2 linked regions of the Drosophila melanogaster genome follow. The protein of the gene in region 1 purifies or fractionates together with the protein of each later gene. This does not show direct contact. Each region holds a gene or a part of one and is shown on either strand. Other genes may lie near its edges.

The links.
Region 2: the proteins of Trissin (region 1) and TrissinR fractionate together in Drosophila melanogaster (co-fractionation; one study listed by BioGRID). This does not show direct contact.

What each region holds. Positions count from the first base shown.
Region 1 is NT_033777.3:15,479,198-15,490,829, forward strand, and holds Trissin (trissin), read right to left. Parts: upstream 6,200-11,632; 5' UTR 6,140-6,199; coding exon 6,088-6,139; intron 6,026-6,087; coding exon 5,932-6,025; intron 5,878-5,931; coding exon 5,697-5,877; 3' UTR 5,533-5,696; downstream 1-5,532. Other genes in the region: B9d1, read left to right, coding at 2,810-3,197, 3,316-3,653; obe (obelus), read left to right, coding at 6,946-7,076, 7,131-8,812, 8,871-9,846, 9,907-10,315, 10,374-11,632. UniProt on the Drosophila melanogaster protein: Activates the G-protein coupled receptor TrissinR in vitro, leading to increased intracellular calcium ion levels.
Region 2 is NT_033779.5:5,818,701-5,832,246, reverse strand, and holds the start of TrissinR (trissin receptor), read right to left. Parts: upstream 7,454-13,546; 5' UTR 6,998-7,453; intron 1-6,997. UniProt on the Drosophila melanogaster protein: G-protein coupled receptor which is activated by the Trissin peptide in vitro, leading to increased intracellular calcium ion levels.

The sequences.
Region 1 (11,632 bases):
CCGGCCGACGTGCGTTGACCCTGAGACTTGCCCACACCCACCCACGCAACGCGAATAACATAAACTAATAGGGGTTTATATATATATATATATATATATAGATGCACAGAGGGAAACATGCTTTCCGAATCAAGACAAGACACTATTTTCGATTCCAGAGTCAGAGCCCTGACCAATTTGGATTTGTTTAAAAGAACAGAAAGTAGTCACCATGTGGTAATAATTTAAATATACTAAACAAAATGCGAATATATACACCCAAATTCCCTTTGCCCTTCAGATACATTTTCGATCAGTTCAGTACAGTTGAAATTGAATTTCTAAAGCAGCCATTACTTTTGTCAGTGTATCAGACTGTTCCTTGAGTTTAAGAACTGCAAATCATATCCTTGCAAAAATATTTATGGGTATCATGTGGAAAAGACTTGAAGTGAGTTGAAATTAAAAACATTTTAAAAGTAGCAGAAGTACAATGGCTAGCACCGCTCTATCGCCATAAAAGATGAGTGCTCGCTGAAAGGCATAGGATCATAAAAATTGACTAGAATTCAAGTACATACGCATGCATAACTCAATTTCCCGCTATCCATCCGGACTCTTTGAACTGTCTGCTAGTCTGTTAGTTCGGGGAAAGATATCCGCCATCTGTAGATGATTTCGACCCTAATCCGTCCCTGAACCGATCCAGAAATTCGCATTTCGCAAATCGGTTCAACACACGACGCTCGACTTTCAGTAATGCAACTCCTCGAGTGGCTAATGCACTTGCAAAAGACTTCAATTGAAAATTTTCATTTACACCAGGCTGGCCGGTCATTCAATGGATATGAATCGGTTTTATATAAGACTCCAAAATGAATATTTCTTCTGAATAATGCCTCCGTTCATTGATTCCAAAAACGTAATTGAATTCACAATGGCTGTGTGTCTGTGTGTGTCAGTTTGCCTGCAGGCGGCATATTCTTCAGTATTAGAAGTGGAAAAATTGTCGAAATCAAAATCGCACAGCATAATGCTACGAGTATAATGCCATATAGCTAAACTCGAGCCCAAATTATGTCGATTCTGCGCTGCATCAGCACTATCTCCGATTGCAGCAGCGAATTGAGCGGCTTTTAGCTTTGGATTTGGCATATGGCCTGATGTCCAATTTCTGATGGCTTTACTTTTGCTTTTGCCTTTGCTTTTGGGCTGACTGACTAAGCCTAAGCTTTTGTTTTGGCAATCAAAAGGAGCTTATTTCATGGAACTGCACATGCCACACACATTACACTGCTCGAAATGCCAGATTAAGCGGGAAAACTATATACATAGTTGGAATGTAATGAAACATCATCGCCAACTTTGGGTACACAGTGCTTATTAATGGGTAATTTCCGATAAGTAATGCATTTAATCTTAATTTATTTTTATAAACAATACTTGTTTTTTTTTTTTTTAACTACTGAAAATACTTTAATAATTTGTCAGTTAGTTTTTGAATAAAATACAGTTGCAAATAATATTTACCACAGCCATCGTTTTATTAATGAATAGGTAATGAACAGGTAAGTGGAATTTTCTTCCAGTGTAAGCACTTGATCCGACTCTGATTGCAACACCAATCGGCTGTCCCAGCTGTGCCACCACTCAGCTCCACAGCTGCACTGACGACGATCCAATCCGATGGGTGCGAAGATCATCTGCGTGGCTCGTGGAAGATGCCAGGTGAGCCGGGAGTTCGCCTTGAACCATTGACATTACTTGAGGCGCATTTTATTTACGCCCAGCATGATTAACTGATTAACTGACTGACTGACTAATTGACTAACTAACTGACTAACTGACTGACTGCCTGGCTGTTGGCCAGTTGGCTACTTGGCTACTTGTCCACTGGCCATTGCATAATGCATCATGCTAATAGGGAGCGGCACCGGGGGATCGAAGATCGAAGGCGCGACTTCCTGTAGACTTCGGTAGCGCCGGCAATTGTTACAATGATTTACGACCATGCCACGTTGGCAGCTATAAATTGCTAAATGGCCATTACAGCATTAATTACACGACCGACCAAGAGTTGTGAGTCGAATCGAAATTGAAATTGACCTTTTGCCCCGCCCAGACTGCCGGTCTGCAGAATGAGTTATTATCTTGTAATTGTCACTTACCAGCGGTGTGCAGATATGTTTCTTCGATCTCGATCTGGATCGGAGTATGCAAATTGGAAGCCAGAACCACTCGATGTCCATGTAACCAGCGATGTCGGTTGGAATTAAATTACATTGCTGTCGACATGACAAAGTGTGCGAATACTTAACTAACGAAACAAAGGAAATCCACCAACTGGTTACAATACATAACGAAAGGAATCATTAATGTGATTTATGAACATGTTGCCTCATTGAATCAGAGAAAAATAGAAATTATCATCGCAGTTTTATCTAAACTATTATTAAATGCAGACAGGCCATAAACCATCCGTTTGTTGAGTGTCTCTGGGGAATTCCTATTACTCAACCTTAAGAATCATCAAAATATAGAGGAAATTGTTTACAATCATTTCGTTTCCGATCTTGCAAGTCATAAACATCAAATTAATACAATAATGCATTTAACAAAAATCGTATGAAATAAATCGAACAATTTTTGCTATATAATCCCAATATATCGATTGTTATAGAAAATATCCCTTTTTTTTCGGTCCAAGCTGTCATATTTTTTGACCACTTTCAACACTTAGTTTGTGGCCAAGTCAGTTTTGGCAGGTGGAAAATAGTTGGCACTCGACTTGGCTGGAAACACACCCCGTTGTGAGTCGGCAACCACCACCATGAGCGCCAGCGAAGGCATCAGTCTCCCGGGCAACGAGGAAACCACTCCGCCGCATGAAAAACATAAACAAAAGGCCAAGAAGGCCAAAAAGAAGTCCCGGAGTGCCAAAGAAAGTGTTCCCAATGCAATGGACGCGAAAGCCACTGCCAGCTACTTTAGTTTGAGCATCGTGGGCCAAATAGTCTCGGCCACCTTTCCCCTGGGTCCCGACAAGGAGTTCGTCTTCCTGCGCTACGAAATGGTCGCTGGTCCCGACTGGCAGCTGTCCTCCGGACCCCAGCACGGACTCACCCAGCTGGCCACCAATAGAAGGGGCCATTTCAACGAACCGATTGTCTTCAATATGCCCATCGAGGTGACCTACAAGAGCACCAGTCCATATGGCTGTGAGTAATAGTACAGAATCGATTAGTTTACTATATTCTTTCTCAGCTCAGCTATTAACAATTTTTCGAATCAGATTGAAGTTACACCAACAAGATCTCCAATTCTTTTGGTTTCCAGGGCCACAGATCCTGGTGACCGTGTTCGGACGCAGTGGCCTGGGCAGGGAGACACTACTCGGTTACGCTCACATCCACCTGCCCGTTTTCGGCAGTCGTCGTCCAGCGGATCAGACGGAGCAGCTGCAGGCGCCCATCCTGATGCCCAAGTGCCCCAACATGATGGCGGACATCACCAGTTGGCTGCTGCGCCGCGAGCCGGAGCTGAAGGACCCCAAAGTGCTGCTGGACAACCTGAAGTGCAAGGGACTCTCTATGGAGTCGTACGGCAGCCTACAGTTTCAGCTGTCCTCCGTGATGAGGGGCGCCCGCAAGCTGGGCTACCATTGGCACTCCTGAGAGAGAGAGTCGAGTCCAGAGTGTGTTAGTAAAACGTGAACTTGAGGAAGCAGGAAAGCGTTTGTCTTAATCTAATTGCCGGGTGGGTGGTACCTCAAACTTGACCTTGTCCGTTGTGGCGGCTAAGACGATTTCAAAATGACGCGACTGCTGCTAATCCAACGCAGCAAACGAGCGGCAATCGAAAGCCCAATTCGAACGGTTAGCTTTGGATTGGCCAAGTGCCGGCTAATTGGATTAGGGCAATTAGTCTAAGACGCGTTGTACACAAGTGGCCATATAAAGACCAGACGACCATGGTCCGCCCCAGGCATTGCCGCCGAGTTCGCGTCCCGAGAGTCAGCCGTCCTGCTATGGACAGCGAGTAGTCGCCGCAGCAGAGTAGCCAGCCATCCAAGTTTAGACGAAGCCACCACCGAAGCGCCACCAGTACCAGCCATTCGAAATGGCCAGCCTGCATCCCCCGAGCTTCGCCTATATGCGCGATGGGCGCAATCTCAGCCTGGCGGAGAGTGTGCCCGCCGAGATTATGCACATGGTGGATCCGTACTGGTACCAGTGGCCTCCATTGGAGCCCATGTGGTTCGGCATCATTGGCTTTGTGATTGCCATTCTGGGCACCATGTCGCTGGCGGGCAACTTCATTGTGATGTACATCTTTACCTCGTCGAAGGGACTGCGCACGCCGTCCAACATGTTTGTGGTCAATCTGGCCTTCTCCGACTTCATGATGATGTTCACCATGTTCCCGCCGGTGGTGCTGAATGGCTTCTATGGCACCTGGATCATGGGTCCCTTCCTGTGCGAATTATACGGCATGTTTGGCTCGCTCTTCGGATGCGTTTCCATCTGGTCGATGACACTGATTGCCTACGATCGTTACTGTGTGATCGTGAAGGGAATGGCCAGGAAACCACTGACGGCCACGGCGGCTGTGCTCCGGCTCATGGTCGTGTGGACCATCTGCGGAGCGTGGGCCCTGATGCCGCTCTTCGGCTGGAATCGGTATGTGCCCGAGGGCAACATGACCGCCTGCGGCACTGACTACTTTGCCAAGGACTGGTGGAACAGGTCCTACATCATCGTCTACTCCCTGTGGGTCTATCTCACGCCGCTGCTGACCATCATCTTCTAATATGACATTCGTTACTAATTATCCAAGGATTCTGTTTGATTAAGGATTGATTTTGGCCTTTCAGGCTGTGGCTGCCCATGAGAAGGCCATGCGGGAGCAGGCGAAGAAGATGAACGTGGCCTCCTTGCGGAACAGCGAGGCCGACAAGAGCAAGGCCATCGAGATCAAGCTGGCGAAAGTGGCACTGACCACCATATCGCTGTGGTTCTTCGCCTGGACTCCGTATACCATCATCAACTACGCGGGCATCTTCGAATCGATGCACCTGAGTCCACTGAGCACCATCTGTGGATCCGTCTTTGCCAAAGCCAATGCCGTGTGCAATCCCATTGTGTACGGATTGAGGTAATATCTAATTAGCTTCCTACTTATCTATCTATATGACCAATTTCTTAATGCATCTCCTGCAACAGCCACCCGAAGTACAAGCAGGTGCTACGGGAGAAGATGCCATGCCTGGCCTGCGGCAAGGACGATCTCACCTCGGACTCGAGGACACAGGCCACCGCCGAGATTAGCGAATCGCAGGCTTAGGCGATTCGAAGACGACGACGACTGCAGACGTAGGGAACTGACAGCTCTAGATCTACAAAAGACTCAACTATTTTGCAAATGGCACCTCAAGGAAAAACCCAAAAAAAAAAAAAGATGGCAATGTAAAAAAAATGTAAAAAAAAAATATAGTAAAAATATAACAGCAATTGATACAAAATCAAATCCACCCAGTTTATCAACTAGTCAAGTGTGCTTTAATCAAGCACAGTGCCCCAAAGAAGTTTGTGCCTTTATTGGTAAGTAACATTTCAAGCATTTCAACCATTTGCCATAGCCATTGGATCACATAGTTCGTTAATCGAAGTCGTTGCCAGTTTTGGTGTCAGTCCAAGTTGGTTCATCTGGGGATATCCTTAGGGGTAGTAGGTGTTCAGGCCGAGGTCCATCAATGTGCCATTGTGGCGCCTTTCTCGCAACTCCTGGGTGAAGAGGGCACGCCCCTGCAGCAGTATGAAGTCGATGAGCCTCCTGTTCGAGCTCTGACGCAGTGCATCGGGGTCGGATCGCTTGCGAAGGTAGTTAAAGCAGCATGTGCTGGAGTAGTAAAATGTATATCACTTGGCGAACTCTTTGAATATGTTAGCTTACCGAAAGTGCTTTGTGCCACATGCGCTGGCACACTCCTTGCCACAAGTGTCGCATTTTATGGCCTGCGAACTGGGGGGGCACATCAACCAAATGCCTTGATAAGCCAAAGATTTAGTTACAAAACCTAAACAATGATTGCTCTTAGTTGAAACTCACATAGCAAGATGATCTGGAAGTGAGCCAGCCAATGCATCGTTGTCTTAGTCATTGGTCGGCCGTCTGCTCAGAATGCTGTGCCACTCATATGATCTTCGCTTGGTGTCCTGTTTCGTATCCCTGAGAAAGCGCAAATGAAAGGACCGAGTTGCCGGCTCCTGACTTTATATACTCATCGGCTGCAGGACAGTTGCCCACTTTGAGATGCTGGCATTCAAAGTGGTCAATGAAGCGTGTGGCGGATGAATAGCCAGGACGAGGACTCCAGTGGGCATGTGAACATGGAGCGCATATTAAGTAAGAGCACACAGACAATTGCAGCTTGCGCAACAAGTTTATGGGTTTATTTTGGGGTTGTTTGGGGCGGGGGTCGTTTGGCAGCCGCAAATCAAAGCAGCTGGACGCAGGTTGTAAAACTTCTTAATCTAGTTGGCAAGTGGCAAGTTAAGCATATTAAAATTGTGAGCAACAGTCATCAACAGTCAGTGGCAGGACTACTGATTTCCCTAGAATGAATACGGACGATATTGGGTGTTGTTACATAGTTTGTGCGCTAGTCAGAGTAATAATTTTTCTTATTTTATCCTAATTTTTAAGTATTTAGTCATTGCACTTAATTTTAATGCCGCAGGCGTATTTGTAACGGTCTTCTATTTGAATTTAAACTTACGATATTCGACATTCAACATATTTTCCAAAGTGTGGCAACACCAGCAAGTTTCCTTCATCAGTGTGACCGCTTTTAGTATTTTTCAGTATTTTCGGTGGAAGAAGAAGCCTGCCCACTCTGCGCTTTGGGAATTGAATAAACGTAAACATTAACTTAACTCCAGCTCTAGTCATAAATATCTATTGAATATGTGGGAGCCGCCACGATTGAGTGCATCTCTGCGCGCCAAGACGGAGCTGGAGGCCCGTAGCCGGCGCTTGAACGTCCTGCGGCAGGCGAGAACCACCTCTGCTGCTTCCACGACGACGAACAGCCAAAAGTGAGTAGCGATTTCACCACCTGTGAAATTTCGTTCAATTCCGCTCCTCTCCAGCAAGGAGGAGCAGACCATCGCACGGCTGCTGGCTCAGATGCCAACCGAAAAGCAGCCGGCCGCTAAGGTGCAGCTACAGAAGCTGCGCAATCTGGTGCAGGAGTGTATGGGCTACGAGGAGCAGCCACAGGTGGTGGAGCACGCGGCGCTCTTCCTCTTCTGGCTGCTGCTGGATCAGCGGGTGCTCCTGGTGGCCACCACACAGCGGCTACACGGCATGTTCGGACAGACTTTCGATCGCAAGAAGACCCAAATTCACGACTGCGTCCAGGCCATCGGCGATCTGCTGGAGGATCACGAAAGATCCGCGCTCAAGCGGTGGCGACAGACGCATCACAAGGTGCCTGGAGTGGGTCCACTATGGGGCGCCCATATACATGTCAAGTGCACGCCCTCCGAGTGGATGGACATCAGCCTGCTGACTGATCTAGCGCCGGATGCGCTACTCAAAAACCGAACTGTCAACAAGTTCTCTATGAAGCACACAACCAAGGCCGCCCCAGTGGCGTCCACGAGCTCGGAAGCCGCCAAGTTGAGTCCAGAACTGCAGACTCTGCTTGAAATCTCCGCAAAGCTGGACGACGAGCACCTAATAATTCGCGTCGGCGACATTCTCGGTTCCCAGCGCAGCAGCGAGGTGTTGCAAAATGAACTTATGGAAATCCTAGGATTTGATTACTTTGAATTAGTAGAAAAACTGCTCATGGAACGGGACAAGATCGCTCGCCAATTAGATCAGTTCGCCACACGATCCCGCCGCGTCATGGAGGTGAAACAGAAGCGCATGGAGGCGGCTGCCAGTGGTGGAGCTGCAGAGCGGCGTCCCACCGTCGCCAGCGCCGTCGTAGTTCAGTCGGCCCAGGAGAAGCAGCTGAGCAAAATGCAGCGGCGGGAGGAGAAGAAACTGCAACGCATTATGCGAAGCATTAAGGACGAAGAGGCCGAGGATGATCCGAATTGTGCGGTTGCCGTTTCCGTTCAACAATTGCGCATGCAGCACCAGCGAAAGCTCTTGGAGGCAGCGCAGCGGGAGCCTCTGTTGCTCAGCACTAAGGCGGCGAAGGCGGAATACAAACAATCCTCGTACAACCAGCCCATCCACTATCCCTATGTGTTCGACAGCCAGCTGCTGGCGAAACAGCACGCTGGCTTTATAGGTGGCAGCAGAATCACTCTGCCCGATAACGCACAGCGCATAGATAACAAACAGTGGGAGGAGGTCAAGATCCCAGCGAGTGAGCCACCTCCGCTCTCTGTTGGCAACAAGCGCGTTCAAATCGAAGAATTGGACGACGTGGGTAGACTGGCCTTTGCCAACTGCAAGGAGCTGAATCGCATCCAGTCAGTGGTCTTTCCGGTTGCCTATCACAGCAATGAAAATATGCTGGTTTGCGCGCCCACGGGAGCCGGAAAGACGAACGTGGCAATGCTTTCCATTGTGCACACCATCCGTTGCCACCTGGAACAGGGAGTCATTAACCGGGACGAATTCAAGATCGTCTACATTGCGCCCATGAAGGCATTGGCCGCGGAAATGGTTGATAACTTTTCGAAGCGCCTGAAATCTTTACAAATCGCTGTGCGTGAACTGACGGGTGATATACAGCTGACCAAGGCGGAAATGGCTGCCACCCAGATACTAGTCACCACGCCGGAGAAATGGGATGTGGTAACCAGAAAGGGTAATAATAATATTCTATTTTTTTTTTTGCAATATATGCTAACAATATTACTTTCCAGGCAGCGGCGACGTGGCTTTGATAAGCCTGGTAGAGCTACTCATCATTGATGAAGTGCATCTTTTGCACGGTGAGCGAGGTCCCGTTGTGGAGGCATTGGTGGCTCGAACCCTCCGCCTTGTTGAGTCCTCGCAATCAATGATTCGCATCGTTGGCCTATCCGCAACCCTTCCAAACTACATCGATGTGGCTCACTTCCTGCGGGTGAATCCTATGAAGGGCCTATTTTATTTCGACTCGCGCTTCCGTCCTGTTCCACTGGACACCAATTTTGTGGGCATCAAGTCGGTGAAGCAGCTGCAGCAGATCGCTGATATGGACCAGTGCTGTTACCAAAAGTGCGTTGAGATGGTACAGGAAGGTCATCAGATTATGGTCTTTGTCCACGCCCGGAACGCCACGGTGCGAACGGCAAATGTGATTCGCGAACTGGCCCAGCAGAACAATACCAGTGCCCTGTTTCTTCCCAAGGATTCCGCTGCTCACGGACTTGCAACGCGTTCGATACAGAGAAGTCGGAACAAGCAACTGGTGGAGCTATTCTCTTGCGGCTTGGCCATGCACCATGCGGGTATGCTACGCGCCGATCGTCAGATGGTTGAGAAGTACTTTGTCGAAGGTCACATCTCGGTGCTGGTCTGCACGGCCACGCTTGCCTGGGGTGTCAATCTGCCGGCTCACGCTGTCATTATCCGAGGCACAGATATATACGATGCCAAGCATGGTAGCTTTGTGGACCTGGGCATACTCGATGTGCTGCAGATCTTTGGACGCGCCGGTCGGCCACAGTTCGACAAGAGTGGAGTGGGTACCATCATCACCAGCTATGATAAGCTGAATCACTACCTGTCGCTGCTGACCAATCAATTCCCCATCGAGTCCAACTTCGTCAATTGTCTGGCCGACAATCTGAATGCGGAAATTGGTCTTGGCACAATTACCAATGTGGACGAAGCTATCGAGTGGCTCAGTTACACGTAAGTTGATACAGAACTTCATTAGATGGATCATTTGTTAATATTCTTCATTTTATAAAGGTACTTGTTTGTGCGCATGAGAATAAATCCTCACGTGTACGGTATCGAGTATTCGGAGCTGGAGAAGGATCCCACGCTGGAAGCCCGCCGCCGTGCTCTTATCATGTCCGCAGCGATGAGTCTGGACAAGGCTCGAATGATGCGGTTTAACCAGCGCACCATGGACATGAACATCACGGACTTAGGTCGCACTGCATCTTATTTCTACATTAAGTACGACACTGTGGAAACTTTTAACGAGCTGATGAAGCCATTTATGACCCAGGCTGAGATTTTGGCCATGATTTCCCAGGCGCAGGAGTTTCAGCAACTCAAGGTACGCGATGACGAGATGGAGGAATTGGACGAACTGAAAAACGCCTATTGTAAGATAAAGCCATACGGAGGAAGTGAGAATGTACACGGCAAGGTAACAATTGATCTTTTGCAATGCTTTTGCCAAGCTTAATTTGGTTTTGATTTGCTAGGTGAACATTCTGATTCAGACATATCTTTCCAATGGTTACGTGAAGTCCTTTTCACTGAGCTCCGACATGTCATATATTACCACGAATATAGGAAGGATAAGCAGAGCGCTATTCTCCATTGTACTGCGCCAGAATAATGCAGTACTGTCGGGAAACATGCTGCAGCTTTGCAAGATGTTTGAACGTCGCCAATGGGACTTTGATTGCCACCTAAAACAGTTCCCAACCATTAACGCTGAGACCATCGACAAACTTGAACGACGCGGTCTGAGTGTCTATAGGCTGAGGGATATGGAGCATCGCGAGCTAAAGGAGTGGCTTCGCAGCAATACCTACGCAGACCTGGTTATCCGGTCGGCGCACGAACTACCCTTGTTGGAAGTGGAAGCAAGTCTGCAGCCAATTACTCGAACGGTGCTGCGAATCAAGGTGGACATTTGGCCCAGTTTCACATGGAACGACCGGGTTCATGGAAAGACGTGCCAAAGCTTCTGGCTGTGGATTGAAGATCCGGAGTCGAACTACATTTACCACTCGGAGCTGTTTCAGGTCACCCGGAAGTTGGTGATGAGTGGCCAGTCGCAGCAGCTGGTAATGACCATTCCTCTGAAGGAGCCACTGCCGCCACAATACTACATACGAGTGAGCAGCGATAACTGGCTGGGAAGTACTACATGCATTCCATTATCATTTCAACATCTTGTGCTGCCGGAACACCACCCGCCACTAACGGAGCTTCTGCCCCTCCGCCCACTCCCAGTCAGCTGCCTCAAGAACGTTGTCTACGAATCCCTCTACAAATTCACGCACTTTAATCCCATTCAGACGCAGATCTTTCACTGCCTGTACCACACCGACAACAATGTGCTCTTAGGCGCTCCCACTGGCAGTGGTAAGACCATTGTGGCGGAGATAGCCATCTTCAGGGCACTCAACCAGAATCCCAAGTGCAAAGTGGTGTATATAGCTCCACTTAAAGCGTTGGTGAAGGAACGCATAGCGGATTGGGAGCAACGCTTCCAGCGCTCCTCTCTGGGTCTCAAGGTTGTTGAGCTAACGGGCGACGTTACTCCCGACATTCAGGCCATCCGAGAGTCTCAACTAATCGTTACCACGCCGGAGAAGTGGGACGGCATCAGTCGGTCTTGGCAGACCCGCGAATACGTACAGCACGTGTCGCTAATCGTCATCGATGAGATCCACCTGCTGGGAGAGGATCGAGGACCGGTCATCGAGGTGATTGTATCGCGAACCAATTT
Region 2 (13,546 bases), on another chromosome or scaffold:
TATTGTTAGAGAATATTCGAATCCCAAGGTGGATTAATTCAAACAGTTCTTCAGTCATTCAGATTCACGGATTTGCGGACGCCTCCGAAAAAGCATATGCTGCAGTAGTCTATGCTAAAGTAGGACCTCATGTTAATATAATAGCTAGCAAAAGTAGAGTCAACCCTATAAAAAATAGGAAGACAATTCCCAAACTCGAGCTGTGTGCAGCTCACCTGCTTAGTGAATTAATCCAAAGACTAAAAGGATCAATTGACAATATAATGGAGATCTATGCTTGGAGTGATTCCACGATTACCTTAGCATGGATTAACAGTGGTCAAAGTAAGATCAAATTTATAAAAAGAAGAACGGATGACATTCGGAAATTAAAAAATACTGAATGGAATCATGTTAAGTCAGAGGATAATCCAGCAGATTTAGCATCCAGGGGAGTGGATTCTAACCAGTTGATCAACTGTGATTTTTGGTGGAAAGGTCCGAAATGGCTAGCAGACCCAAAAGAACTTTGGCCTCGGCAGCAGTCTGTAGAAGAACCTGTCTTAATAAATACGGTATTAAATGACAAAATAGATGATCCTATTTACGAATTAATAGAAAGGTATTCCAGTATAGAAAAACTTATACGTATAATAGCATACATAAATAGATTCGTGCAGATGAAAACAAGAAATAAAGCCTATTCATCAATTATTTCAGTAAAGGAGATAAGAATAGCGGAAACAGTTGTTATTAAGAAACAACAAGAATACCAGTTTAGGCAAGAGATAAAGTGCCTTAAAATCAAAAAGGAAATCAAGACAAATAATAAAATATTGTCATTGAATCCATTTTTGGACAAGGATGGGGTTCTAAGAGTTGGAGGAAGATTGCAAAATTCCAATGCAGAATTTAATGTTAAACATCCAATCATTTTAGAAAAATGCCACCTAACAAGCTTATTAATAAAAAATGCTCATAAGGAAACATTGCATGGAGGGATAAACCTAATGCGAAACTATATCCAAAGAAAGTATTGGATTTTCGGGTTGAAAAATTCGTTGAAAAAGTATTTAAGAGAATGTGTAACGTGTGCAAGGTATAAACAAAATACAGCTCAGCAAATAATGGGTAACTTGCCAAAATATAGAGTGACGATGACATTCCCGTTTCTTAATACTGGAATAGATTACGCAGGTCCTTATTATGTTAAATGTTCAAAAAATCGTGGCCAAAAAACATTTAAAGGATACGTTGCTGTATTCGTTTGCATGGCCACCAAAGCCATACACTTAGAAATGGTAAGCGATCTAACTTCAGACGCATTTTTAGCAGCACTCAGAAGATTTATTGCTAGACGGGGAAAATGTTCCAATATCTATTCAGACAACGGAACAAATTTTGTAGGAGCTGCAAGAAAATTAGATCAAGAGTTATTTAATGCAATACAAGAAAATATAACGATTGCAGCGCAGCTTGAAAAGGACAGGATTGATTGGCATTTTATTCCCCCGGCAGGACCTCACTTCGGAGGTATTTGGGAAGCTGGAGTTAAGTCAATGAAATACCATTTAAAGCGTATAATCGGCGACACTATTTTGACTTATGAAGAAATGTCAACTCTTTTATGTCAAATAGAAGCATGCTTAAATTCAAGGCCATTATACACTATAGTTAGTGAGAAGGACCAACAAGAAGTTTTAACACCAGGTCATTTTTTAATTGGAAGACCACCTTTAGAAATAGTCGAACCAATGGAAGATGAAAAAATCGGAAATTTGGATAGGTGGAGACTTATCCAAAAAATGAAGAAAGATTTCTGGGTTAAGTGGAAAAGTGAATATTTGCATACGCTCCAGCAAAGGAATAAATGGAAAAAGGAAATTCCTAATATAGAAGAAGGGCAAATAGTTTTATTAAAGGATGAGAATTGTCATCCTGCAAGATGGCCTTTAGGAAAGGTGGAAAAGGTGCATAAGGGGAATGATGATAAGGTCCGAGTGGCTAAAGTAAAGATGCAGGAAGGATATATCACTAGACCCATTACTAAAATTTGTCCCTTGGAAGGAATAAAGTCTGTTGACAAAAATGAGGCTGACCAAGAGCCAAAAAGACGAACTAGAGCGACATCGGGAATGTCCAAGATCGGAATCATTATGGCAATGTTGTTGTTTGTGTTAAGTTGTCAAGTTTCTAGCGCATTACCTAAAGATATAGCACCAAGATATTCTATAGACAAAATAAATAAAACCTCAGCAATATATCTAGACCCGCTAGGAGATGTTGAGATTGTGAGTACTTCTTGGAATTTGGTTATCTATTATAAAATGGATCCATATTTTAAAATGTTAACAAAGGGTAATGCGCTTATACAAAGTATGAGGAAAGTTTGCGAAAGACTTCATAGCTTTGAAGAGCAATGTAGTCTAGTCTTAGATAATATGCAAAGTCAGTTATCGGAACTTGAAGAAAACAATAAATTGTTTATGATGCAGTCTAGATCTAGAAGCAAGCGTGCTCCTTTCGAATTTATGGGTTCCTTGTATCATATTTTATTTGGTATAATGGATGAAGATGATAGAGAGCAATTAGAAGAAAATATGAAGAATTTGTTAGATAACCAGAACAACCTTGATAAACTAATTCAAAAACAAACATCTGTGGTTGATTCAACTTCTAATCTATTAAAGAGAACAACAGAAGATGTTAACTCCAATTTTAGAAGTATGCAAATAAGAATTGAGAACATGACAGAAGTTCTTAAAGAAAATTATTATGTTTATAAGGAATCAATAAAATTCTTTATGATTACGAAACAGCTACACTCATTGATTGAAGAAGGCGAAAAAATTCAAGCAGGCATTATAAGCCTGTTGATTGATATTAATCACGGTAGGCTAAATACAAATATTCTCAGGCCAAATCAGCTTAAAAAAGAAATTGCCAAAATTCAGCAGAGTCTTTCAGAGAACCTAGTAATTCCAGGAAAACGGTCAGGTACGGAACTTAAGGAGGTGTATACACTGTTAACAGCCAGGGGTTTATTCATCGACGATAAATTGATCATTAGTGCAAAAGTGCCTCTGTTTAGCAGGCATCCATCCAAATTGTTCAGGCTTATTCCGGTGCCAATTCGAAATGAAGATCGGATAATCAAAGGAAGTTGGCCCTGGAATTCAGCGAATGATAATGCATGTGAGATTCAGCCTCTAAAGCCAGATAAAGCGGCGAACTGCATCTATAAAACAGTAGTCGACTCTAAAAGTTACTGGGTAGAGTTAGAAAAGAAAAGTAGTTGGTTGTTTAAGGTTCCTGCGAATTCAAAAGTCCGTCTGCAATGTACTGGCTCTCAAATTGAATTGTTTGATTTGCCTCAGCAAGGAGTTTTAAGCATTGCGCCATATTGTACGGCAAGAACCGACGATAAAATTCTAGTTGCCCACCATAACATTCAGTCCGAAAGTGAAGAATTATTATCAACACCTTATATAGGAGAAGTTAGTGGAGTGCCGAAGATTATTTGGGATCCGCTGAAACTATCAATATTAAATCATACTGAGGAATTTGAACGATTGAATAATGAAATTAAATTTATGAAAGAGAACCATCAAAAATTGAAAGATTTACATTTCCATCATATTTCCGGACATGCTGGATTAATTATTGCTTTAATACTAATGATAGTATTAATAATATATTTCATACGGAAATGTGCTGTGCAACAAAGAATGCAAGCAATAACCTTTGCAGGTCCGTTGCCAGTACTATAAATATCAATAGTAAATAAACAATAAAATAATATAACAAATAAAAATATACAGTCCACTAATAGAAAATGTACTTCTACATAGAAAAAGCAAAATGTTTAAAATAAGTTAATTGAGTACAAATTGTTGAATTAAAAATAATATAAACCATAATTGTAATCCAATAAAATTAAAAGCCAGAAAAACTAGGCCCATTGAAATCTTAGTTGCAAAATAAATGAACATATATCAAATAAATACAGCCCACTACTGTTATAAATGCAACTAATATACTAATGTACATCTCAGCTTTGCTGGCCCTTTGGCAGAATGTTCACACATGAACACGAATATATTTAAAGACTTACAATTTTGGGCTCCGTTCATATCTTATGTAAATGAATCGAGAGCGATAAATTATATTTAGGATTTTGTTATCTAAGGCGACATGGGTGCATTGCTCAAAAACATGTAATTTAAGTGCACACTACATGAGTCAGTCACTTGAGATCGTTCCCCGCCTCCTAAAATAGTCCCTTAGTGGGAGACCACAGATAAGGTCCTCGCCGCTCAAGATAGGCAGATGTGCCCGAGCGTGGGACCTCGATAAGGCGGGGACTATTTACGTAGGCCTCTGCGTAGGCCATTTACTTTAAGATGCGATTCTCATGTCACCTATTTAAACCGAAGATATTTCCAAATAAAATCAGTTTCTTACAAAAACTCAACGAGTAAAGTCTTCTTATTTGGGATTTTACAGGTACTTATGCATGCCTCCTTTTGCAGGCCATTTAGGAATGGCCCATATATCTTTGGGCCACAGACAAATCGGCCATTAATATGCGCTAGGCAAAAAGCTGAGCTCAGGACATGGAACTCTAAAAATGTACACGACTGTAGGGCGCTTAAGAACAACAAACATGTTTATTTGGGTCATTATGTAAACAGGGCGAACAGAGGAAATTTTGACCCCAGACCAGTAGATATGATAAATGGTGGGTCTTTAAATCGTAAATAACGTATATAATTTTTTTTAGTTTGGTGGGCTTTTTTCAGGCATCTTAAGAACTTGGGGGAGAATTCACGAGAAATTCAATTTCGTCTGATGAAAAATGTCCTGATATCGGATTCCCAATAATTTCACAATGCAAATTTCTTGGTTTATGACTGAAATAAACCACACGGAATGCAATGAAACAAAATACATTGCTTTACGTAGGAGTTTTCATATTTTCCCCCACAAGTGCCGAAAAATATGCTACAAAATATGTAGGATTTGCCCAGCGGAAAAAGGTGAAAGAATCAGGCTCGTAACCAAAGTTTTTTACCGCCAACTGAAGCAAAGAAAACTCATATACAACATATATGGAACATATATACAACATATGAACGAAAGTCGTAAGCAGCGAGGCATAAATTGTCAGATTACCTTCACGTTCACTGCCTAAGCTTTATTTCACAAAATTACCCTATAAAGTCGAGCTTAAAGAGCAAAAAATATGTATATATTTTTAAATCAAAGGAAATTATCACAGGAAGTTAAAAACAAAACACGACACAATACTTGGAAAATATTTATTAAAGTTCGCCTTCCAGAAGCTCTTGCTACGTTTCGAATTCCTTTCTGCTTTCCTCATTTCTTTGCTTTCCGCTATTTAATTAATCAGCCAGGGTTCATTAACTTAAAATACTAATGAAAATTCTAAAGGGTATACTGTATATACATAGTTTACAGAAAAATTTCCCTTTATAAGCCCCATTACATTTTATATGTTCAGTTTTTTTTTCGAGTTACAACAATAACCAGCGAAGTACTTGCACTTTTAAGTGGAATGATTTAAAATGCACAATTCTGTAGCCGACTGTTTTTAATTAGTTTTAAATGGTTTTTAAAAATCGCAAAAAAATGCGCAGCGCTAAAAGCTTTTGACTACCATAGAGCCGAAACAAATTAACTGATTATACTCTCATAAATTTATTCGAAATAATTCAATTAATTTGCGTTCGCCTCGCACAAGCCGAAATTCCAATAAACGGTTGGATGGCGCAAACCTAAATTAAACTTAATTCGATGTTGCTGTGGGTATTTGAATTTCGAGCATCCTGTCGTCAACAGAAAGTGCCAGGAAAAAGGACCCGCAGCGCAAAAGAGGCAATCTCACACCTTCATAGTTCAGTTGGCAATGTTTGTCATTTGCGCCTCATTTAGTTTTTGCCACTTGTGGGTGGCTGGAGGCGATTTCCATGATGCCCAAATCAGATGACAAAGTTTAATCTATTAAGAGCCGGTGATTCGAGTCTTGAATTTCGATTTCGAAGTGGAAAATAAATCAATTTCACCGAGTGATGCTTTGTTTTTGTATTAAGTGCTTCGTTAAACTGAAAGAAAGTGTTGATTAAGTCCGTGTGATTCATAAGCTGTGTTGCACGCTATTGCTGCCTGAAAGTATTGGGAACTATTTTAAAAACTAAATCAAATCCTTATTTATTCCTTGTTTTTCCATTTGTTTTGTCGTACGTTTTCAACTTTTGGATGCGGTAAGAAAATATCTCAAAGGCAAAACTTAAATCTCTTTTGTGACCGTAATAAAATTTAGCAGGAAACAAAATGACCAACGTTATCCAGTGCCTAAAAACTAGTTTATTTCTGGCTGTAAAACGAGCTTATGGCTTTAAACTTTCTTTTCTGTCTAGAATAAAGTTTTTATGTTTCCACTGAAGCTTTTGGCTCTGCTCTGCGGAATGCCATAAAACCATATTAGTCAATAATTTTTAGTCACTTAATTTTTCCTGTAGGAAAATGTGAGTGGATGTGAGTGGAGGACAACATGTACATATGTGTAATCACAAGGCTCGTGTCAACACATTTTTCAAAAGGTATCTTAATGAACCGCCTTCTGTCTGATTGTACGAGTTGCTTTCGGCCCGGTGGTGGTGATGACAAAAATAGGCAAGGACCTGTGCAAATACAAATCTGCCATTTTGTTAATCGGGACACGCACAGCAGGCAAATCAAAATCGTAAAAATAAACCAAAAAAAACAAAGGCGCAATCCGAATCAAATGGGCTAAGGCACACCTGCGACACGCTGCCATCACTTTTGTTTGTTCTCTTCGGGATTGCGTGGGAACACTCAATTTTTGTCTTTCACGTGCGGAAAGTCGGATTTCCCGACGATTATGCGGCAATCTTCACATCGTGGACTCAAAATTGTCAGATAATCCATATTTGCGAGATTAGCCGAATTAATTATTAATTTGAAACTTTCTCACCTGCGGTAGAATATCGGAGGATAAATCCTTCTAAGTATTAGCTATTATCTTTCTGGAACGTGCTCCAAGTTTTGGATATGTTCCCAATTTCGATTGAATTCGTCCTTAAGAAAGCTTACAAATGAATTAGCCAGATTTTCACTCGAGTTAAATCACAAATTTAAGCACTACCATATGTATAAATCTATAGGAGTAAGACTCCGATGCGCCAAATCTTTTAGGTTACATTTCTTTTGGGTTCCGCGCAGATATTTTACGAACGAAATGGTTATAGCTTTTGAAAATATTGTTTTTTCCCTTAACGCTTCACGTATTTAGTGTAGCGCTGGAATTAACAAAAATTGCTGTTCACTCATTGCGAATCCACCATGTTGTAACAATGACCTTCGTTTTTCACAATCGTTTAGTGGCCAAAAATTATTTTATTGTTTCCAATTAGCTCGGCGCGAATGTGGTTCACTTCTAAAAATATATCAAACATTTTCAGTAGATATAATTTTTGCAAAAAGCTTCATGCTTCCATTGTAATAAATCGTATGTGTAAATAGGCATTTAAACAAAGGCTTATTTTAGCTTTTTATTTTGCAAGTGCATTTAATGATTTTTTTTAATTATATATAATTCGAGCGTAGCCGTTTTCCGTAAAATTTATTCGATTTAAGAAAGAGTTGTATACGTGGTTGTTCAATTATTTATCCTAAATAACACTATTTTCAATTAATTTTTGGTGCAAGAGAACGTATTTTTCAATCATGTTTAAGAAATAAATTTCGAAGTTGGGAGTGAATATTTTTTAAGTTCAAAGTAATATCAGAATAATGTCATAAAGTTACTATTTACGAATAAAGCGGCGCACATTATGGTTTTAAGTTAAAGCGTTTTTTGCAAATTGTTTTATATTTTTCGTTTCAATACGATTTTCGAGTAATCCGTCGGACGAAATGAACTGTTCAACAACTGGAAACATTTCACTTTTGAGATCCTCAATCTTGCGATAACTCGGTGCAGCTTTTCACAATTTATTAACTTGCACTGACAGTATCATAAATATTTCAGAAATTGCGCTTCTGTCGAATCCGAACATTCGGCGAACTTACACAACCACGAGCGGTTATTCCGCTTATTCAGTACGAAAACGAGTGAAAATATTATTCAAATATCACCCGGAGTTCTGGGTTCGAATTCCCGCTCGATTTTGGCATTTCGCGTCCGATTCGTTTGAGATGCCGCGACATTCTGACGGCTCGTTTCGCAAAAGCGGGCCAACACGAAAGGCGGCGTCCGAATCGGCGGCAGTCGACAGACAGCGACAGCGCCTGCTGGCTGGCCAAGTTAACAGAGCTGTTAGCCAAGTTGTGTTGTTGTGGCAGGCCTTTGCATTTCCACTTGTGCGTCACGTGCTCCTGGCTGTTGTTGTTGCATTGAACTTGAACTAGTGGCAAAGTTGTTGTCGTCGTTGTGGTTGCTATTGCACTTTTGCTGTTCTTCCGACATTTGCCGGCTGTTTTTGGCTGGCATTCGGCGCGTTTTCTCACCGCGCACGCGCTCTGAATTCGGAAGACCATATTTGTGTGATATTTGGTTTCAAATTTCATTTGATTGCCAGTCTGCAGTTGTTTTTCCTGCGAAGGGAAGTCAAAGTAAATTTATCATTAAACACGAATAGGAAATTATTTTAAGTTCCAATATAAACACAGCATATCCTGGGAACTATGCCTATAAATAGAATTCATTCATTCGCCCGCAAAAAATTATGACGCAAATTGGAGCCAATGAGGATCTTGGAATTAAGTGCTGTGAAACGCAATTAGAGTTAACGATTGTTTTGCCTTAGTAGATTTACCTTTATAATAAGCTATCCTTGAATATAGAGGATCCCAAAGTAATGACACTAACTATATATAGCAGTTAATAAAACAATTAAACAGCAAAAAAATAATAATATGCCAATTGTTCAGAAATTTCAACGGTTTTAGAAGTTCTGTTACCTTGATCCTTCGAACGGATAAGCATTATGCACGTGCCTCCTGCTGAATTCCAAATAGTATACAAATTTAACAAGGCGGGAAAACTTGCACCTTGTGCGCTGCGGAAAACTGCGAGAGTGACTGCTGTTTGAAAAGCTTTGTGTGCATTAGTCAGTTTCCCAACAAAAATCAATCTTAGAAGGCGTATCTGTTCGTGAACTCCCTTCGATGTCATCCAGCTTCTAAGGACGTTTGGCTAAGCTGCCAAGTCGGAATTCTTAAAGTTTGATTTCCTCGGAATTAGCTAGTGTAAGCTTGTACGAAAATATGATATTTTGGTATTTGGTATATCTCACCAAAGGACGCACAAATTCGAATGCAATTAGATTTTTCAACATTTTTCAGCTGGGTCGTGGATCTCCCCTTTTGGCTATGAAAATCTCCCTTGTTGGCCAAGCGAAAACCTTCGCCAAGTTCAAGTGGAAAAGTAGTCATAAGTCGGTGGTAGCCACATGGGTGCGGTCAGTACTTGGAAACTGAAAGAATTGAATTGTGGTCGGCGAGCTGTGCGCAAATAAATTAAGTATGTGTACTTTCAGCTTAGAGCTTGCCAAAGAATCGCTCAGAATGGAGTGGGCAAAGGCAAGATTAAAAGTCCCAACGACTTTGAATGTAAATTTAATTTGAGTCGCAGCATGATGTATGGCATAGCAATTTTAATCAATTGTCTCCAACTCGGCAAAGAGTCCAACAAACATCCCGTCACAATTCCATTGAAATTAATTGATTTTGGCTCAGCAGTAGGCAAACAAATACATATCACCAATGCGGTTGGCCAAGCAGATTAAACAGTGGCTCATAAGAGGCAATTAATTTTACAATCTAAGTAGTTGCCATTCAGATACACTAGGGTACAGGTCGTATACTTAACTACATTAAGCATACGTAACTATTGGTAGTATTCTTAAGTATTATTCCACATTCGTCTTCAAGCTATTTAGCTGTTATTGAATGAATTATGAATACCAACCTTAATCGTGTGGGAAAACAAGTGATTATAAACAGAATGGAAAGCTGCAGTCGAGTCCATCGATATAAGTATCTATTTTCAAATAAATATCACTAAAAATTCAATTTCGTAATCTAATAAAATGGTACACAGAAAGGAACAAAAAGCGTTAAAAAAAGGAGAAGTATATGTGAAGCCTTGGTGGCAATAAAATCCTAATAAATTATTTTGCCTCTTATTCTAAGGCCAAGGAAACTATTCTTTTGAAGCAATAAATTTAAGGCTACATATGTTGCATTCAAAGTGCCTGACAGTTCGTTTTGTTGTTTAGTAAATCAATAAGCAATATCTTACTTTATTCCTTAAAATGGATATTGGATTGCAAGTGGTTGGCCGATAACTATATTCAAATGTGTTTTTAAACTTTACTTGGTAGTTTATTAAAGGGGAATATAGTTTGAATAGACATGAGTTGTAGGAATACGTTACACAAAGGCTATTACACAGTTCGTTTTGTCCGTAATGAAATTATTCAGTGAAATCGTTAGGAAAATGTTGTTAACAGGAAACAGGCGGTTACTTATCATCTGGCCACTAATTAAAACAAGCCGCAGGCGGAAAGGCAAGTGCCCGGCTGATAGCGAATTCCAACTTTGGGGAGTTGGCCAACCTCTAATGAATAATGACGGCCCCAAGGGGCGTAAAAAGAAAAACGCCGTTCGAATGTCGGACAGCACTTTGCGCTTAGCGTGCGTGAGCAAATCAAACACGTCCTTGAAGGACGAATACGTGGCGGGTACTGGCTTAATGGAGGCTAATCGGGCCGTAACAAAATATCCACTGGCATCGACAATTATACAATCGATTCGATGCCACTCGCCAGTTGCGCTAGTTCTCAGTTATCCAGATGAAACTTTTTTCAGGTCTAGTCGGCAAAGTTTTCGCCAGAGCAGCAGGTCCATTCGTTGGTTAGATAGATGGATGGATGGATATTGACCCAGCCAACGTCCTTTCGCTTTGCATACTTTGCGCCGCAGTGCCAACGCAATTTGTTCCAATGTCGTGTGTCACGTTTGCTTTCATTCTGGCATGGCTTTGGCTCCTTGGCTTTTGTTTGGCATTTTGCTGTTTGCGCTTGTGCCATTTTACCCCTCCCCCCCCACCAACCAACTGCAGTTAGTTCACCATTCCACTTTCCGCGTCCACCTTCCCTGCATTTTATACGTTCATTGGCTTTGATGTTGTAGCTGGAAGGACTAATGAACCCTTTGGCGAACGGCGTTGCCGGCAAAGGCCCATAAAGCTCAAGCGAACACCACTAACATTGAGATAGATAACACGAACACTGGCCATACATGGATTTTATAGTTCCTTTGTTCCATGCTCCTGCACATAAGACATTTTTCCGTCTGAATCTGAAGCAGAGGGCAGGCTAAAAGGAAAGTTATAATTCTGGGATGGCAATGTTTATGCTTTTTGAGGCTTTGAAAGATTTTGCCCTTCTGGTTTCAATTCGGGTTTGTAGATTTCCATGCCAAGCACCATAGTTGCATTAAAAGTTTGTTTTTTTCACATTTAGTCAGTTTGTAGTGGCAAAAATTGAGCTTTCGTGTCAGTCAGAATCGTTCTTTGGCAGTTTAATTGGAGCTTGAACCACATGGAATTTGGTGTTCAACTGGACGCAAAATAGAAAACACGCCAACTTCATGAATAACTAATAAAGTGTAGAACTGGACAAATGTAAGCAAATACAATGTTCATAGTATACCATTAGATTTTTATAATGTTTCCATGGCACAGTTTGTGTTAACATCGAACACAATACATTTTAAGAGTTAGAATACTTTTATACACATTTTTATTGTAACCTGATATTTGTTTTGCCCTTTAAAGAAGTATTGAATTTCTGCATCAATTTGTAGGCACAAACAACAAGCATTACTGAATTTATATTAAATAATGCCCAATATTTACCTCTGGCACAGCATTTATAATTCAATTAGTTTGATGATTCACCTGGAGTGGCGAAAGGACAAAGGACGAGCTGCGTCTCAAAAGCCAGCGGAAGTTATATTTACCGCAAACGGTGGCCGTTTCTCGGTTACAGGTGGGCGTGGAGGTCACCCCTTTCGTCACCGTTATTGGCAAAAGCCCGGAGCACGTTTCGTGTCAATAACTTACAATTAGCTTGAAGTGCCCGGGCTGAGGGCGGTGGTTGTGGGGGCGTGGCCATTCATCCACTTGGGCCATAAGTAATAGATAATAATGACACGACCACGTCAAAAGTAGATGGTATTGGGGTTCATTGGCCCTCCCATCCTAATTGCCGGGATAGGGGACAAAGTTCACTGAGCTGCAGGTTGTTCGGAGCATGCGATTCTCGTGTTTATATTAATCAAAAGGTCCCAGTAATAGTCCTGGGAAAACTTAATAAATTAAAGTCGAGACTATCTAACAAACCGCCAGGAGTAAGGAGAAATAGTAACGAGATATCTTTGTAACATGACACGCACCATATTTGGAAGCTGAATTAATATAGATGATTATCTTAAAAAATATATACATATATCTAAAGTTTAGCAACTTTAAAGATTCAACCAAAACCTTTTCTATTTGTTTGAAACTTTAAAATGACTTTGGTCTGCGTTGGCGATAAAAGCAAATTGCACATAAGCGCAAATTTTTGTTTGCAACAGTTGGACACAACCGGTGGTGGTAAGTCTTCCAGCTAAGAGCCATTATAAGTTCAAAATTCCACTTAAATTTGATTACACCTACTTAGCTCAAAGCACACTTAAAAGTCTATCGACATGAGATTGCGGATTGAGCAGCCGAAAGATATATGGTCACTCGACATATCGAAGACGCCCTCGAAAATGTCTCTTTTGCCAATAGTGTACGAGTCTTGTATCTGAATCGCTGTGGAAATAGAAGGCTGCAAAAGGAATGAAAGTCCGGGCTTATAAATATAAATGCCGTCAACGCCTTGAGGCGCCAAACATATTGAAATTGTCTTTTTGCACGACGGTTCAATGCACAGACTTAAAAATTTTGCCGTCTGGTCAAAGTTGAATGGTCAGAATGTTGAGAAGAAAAAGTGAACTTTCCTGGTGTGTTTTTCCAAGCGGTTTGTTAGAAATTTAATTGCCAAATGCAAATTTCGAATTCCCTGCGCAGATTTTCCCTGACATTAAATACAAGAAAAATAATGACTAGCATAAAATTAAGTAAAGTGCACCTGGACAACAGATTGAACTTTGAAAGAAAAAGCATTAATAATCTGGTAATTTAAAGAGAAAAAGAAATTACATTTTATAGACTGTAGTGTGCACAATTGTCATATAAACATAGTAGTTTTGCAATTGCTTAGCCAAGCTTAAATAAACAAATATTTGCTGTTGGCTCGAGCAAAGGGTACTTGTGGATATTAGTGAGGGAAGCACCTCTTCAATAGCCTGCATTAGTAAACAACAGTAAACGACATTTGAACAACTATTTACACAATGTCCTTTTTCACATCCCATACATAATTATCCGCATTGATTTGGCAAACAACTACCGAGAAAAAAAGGA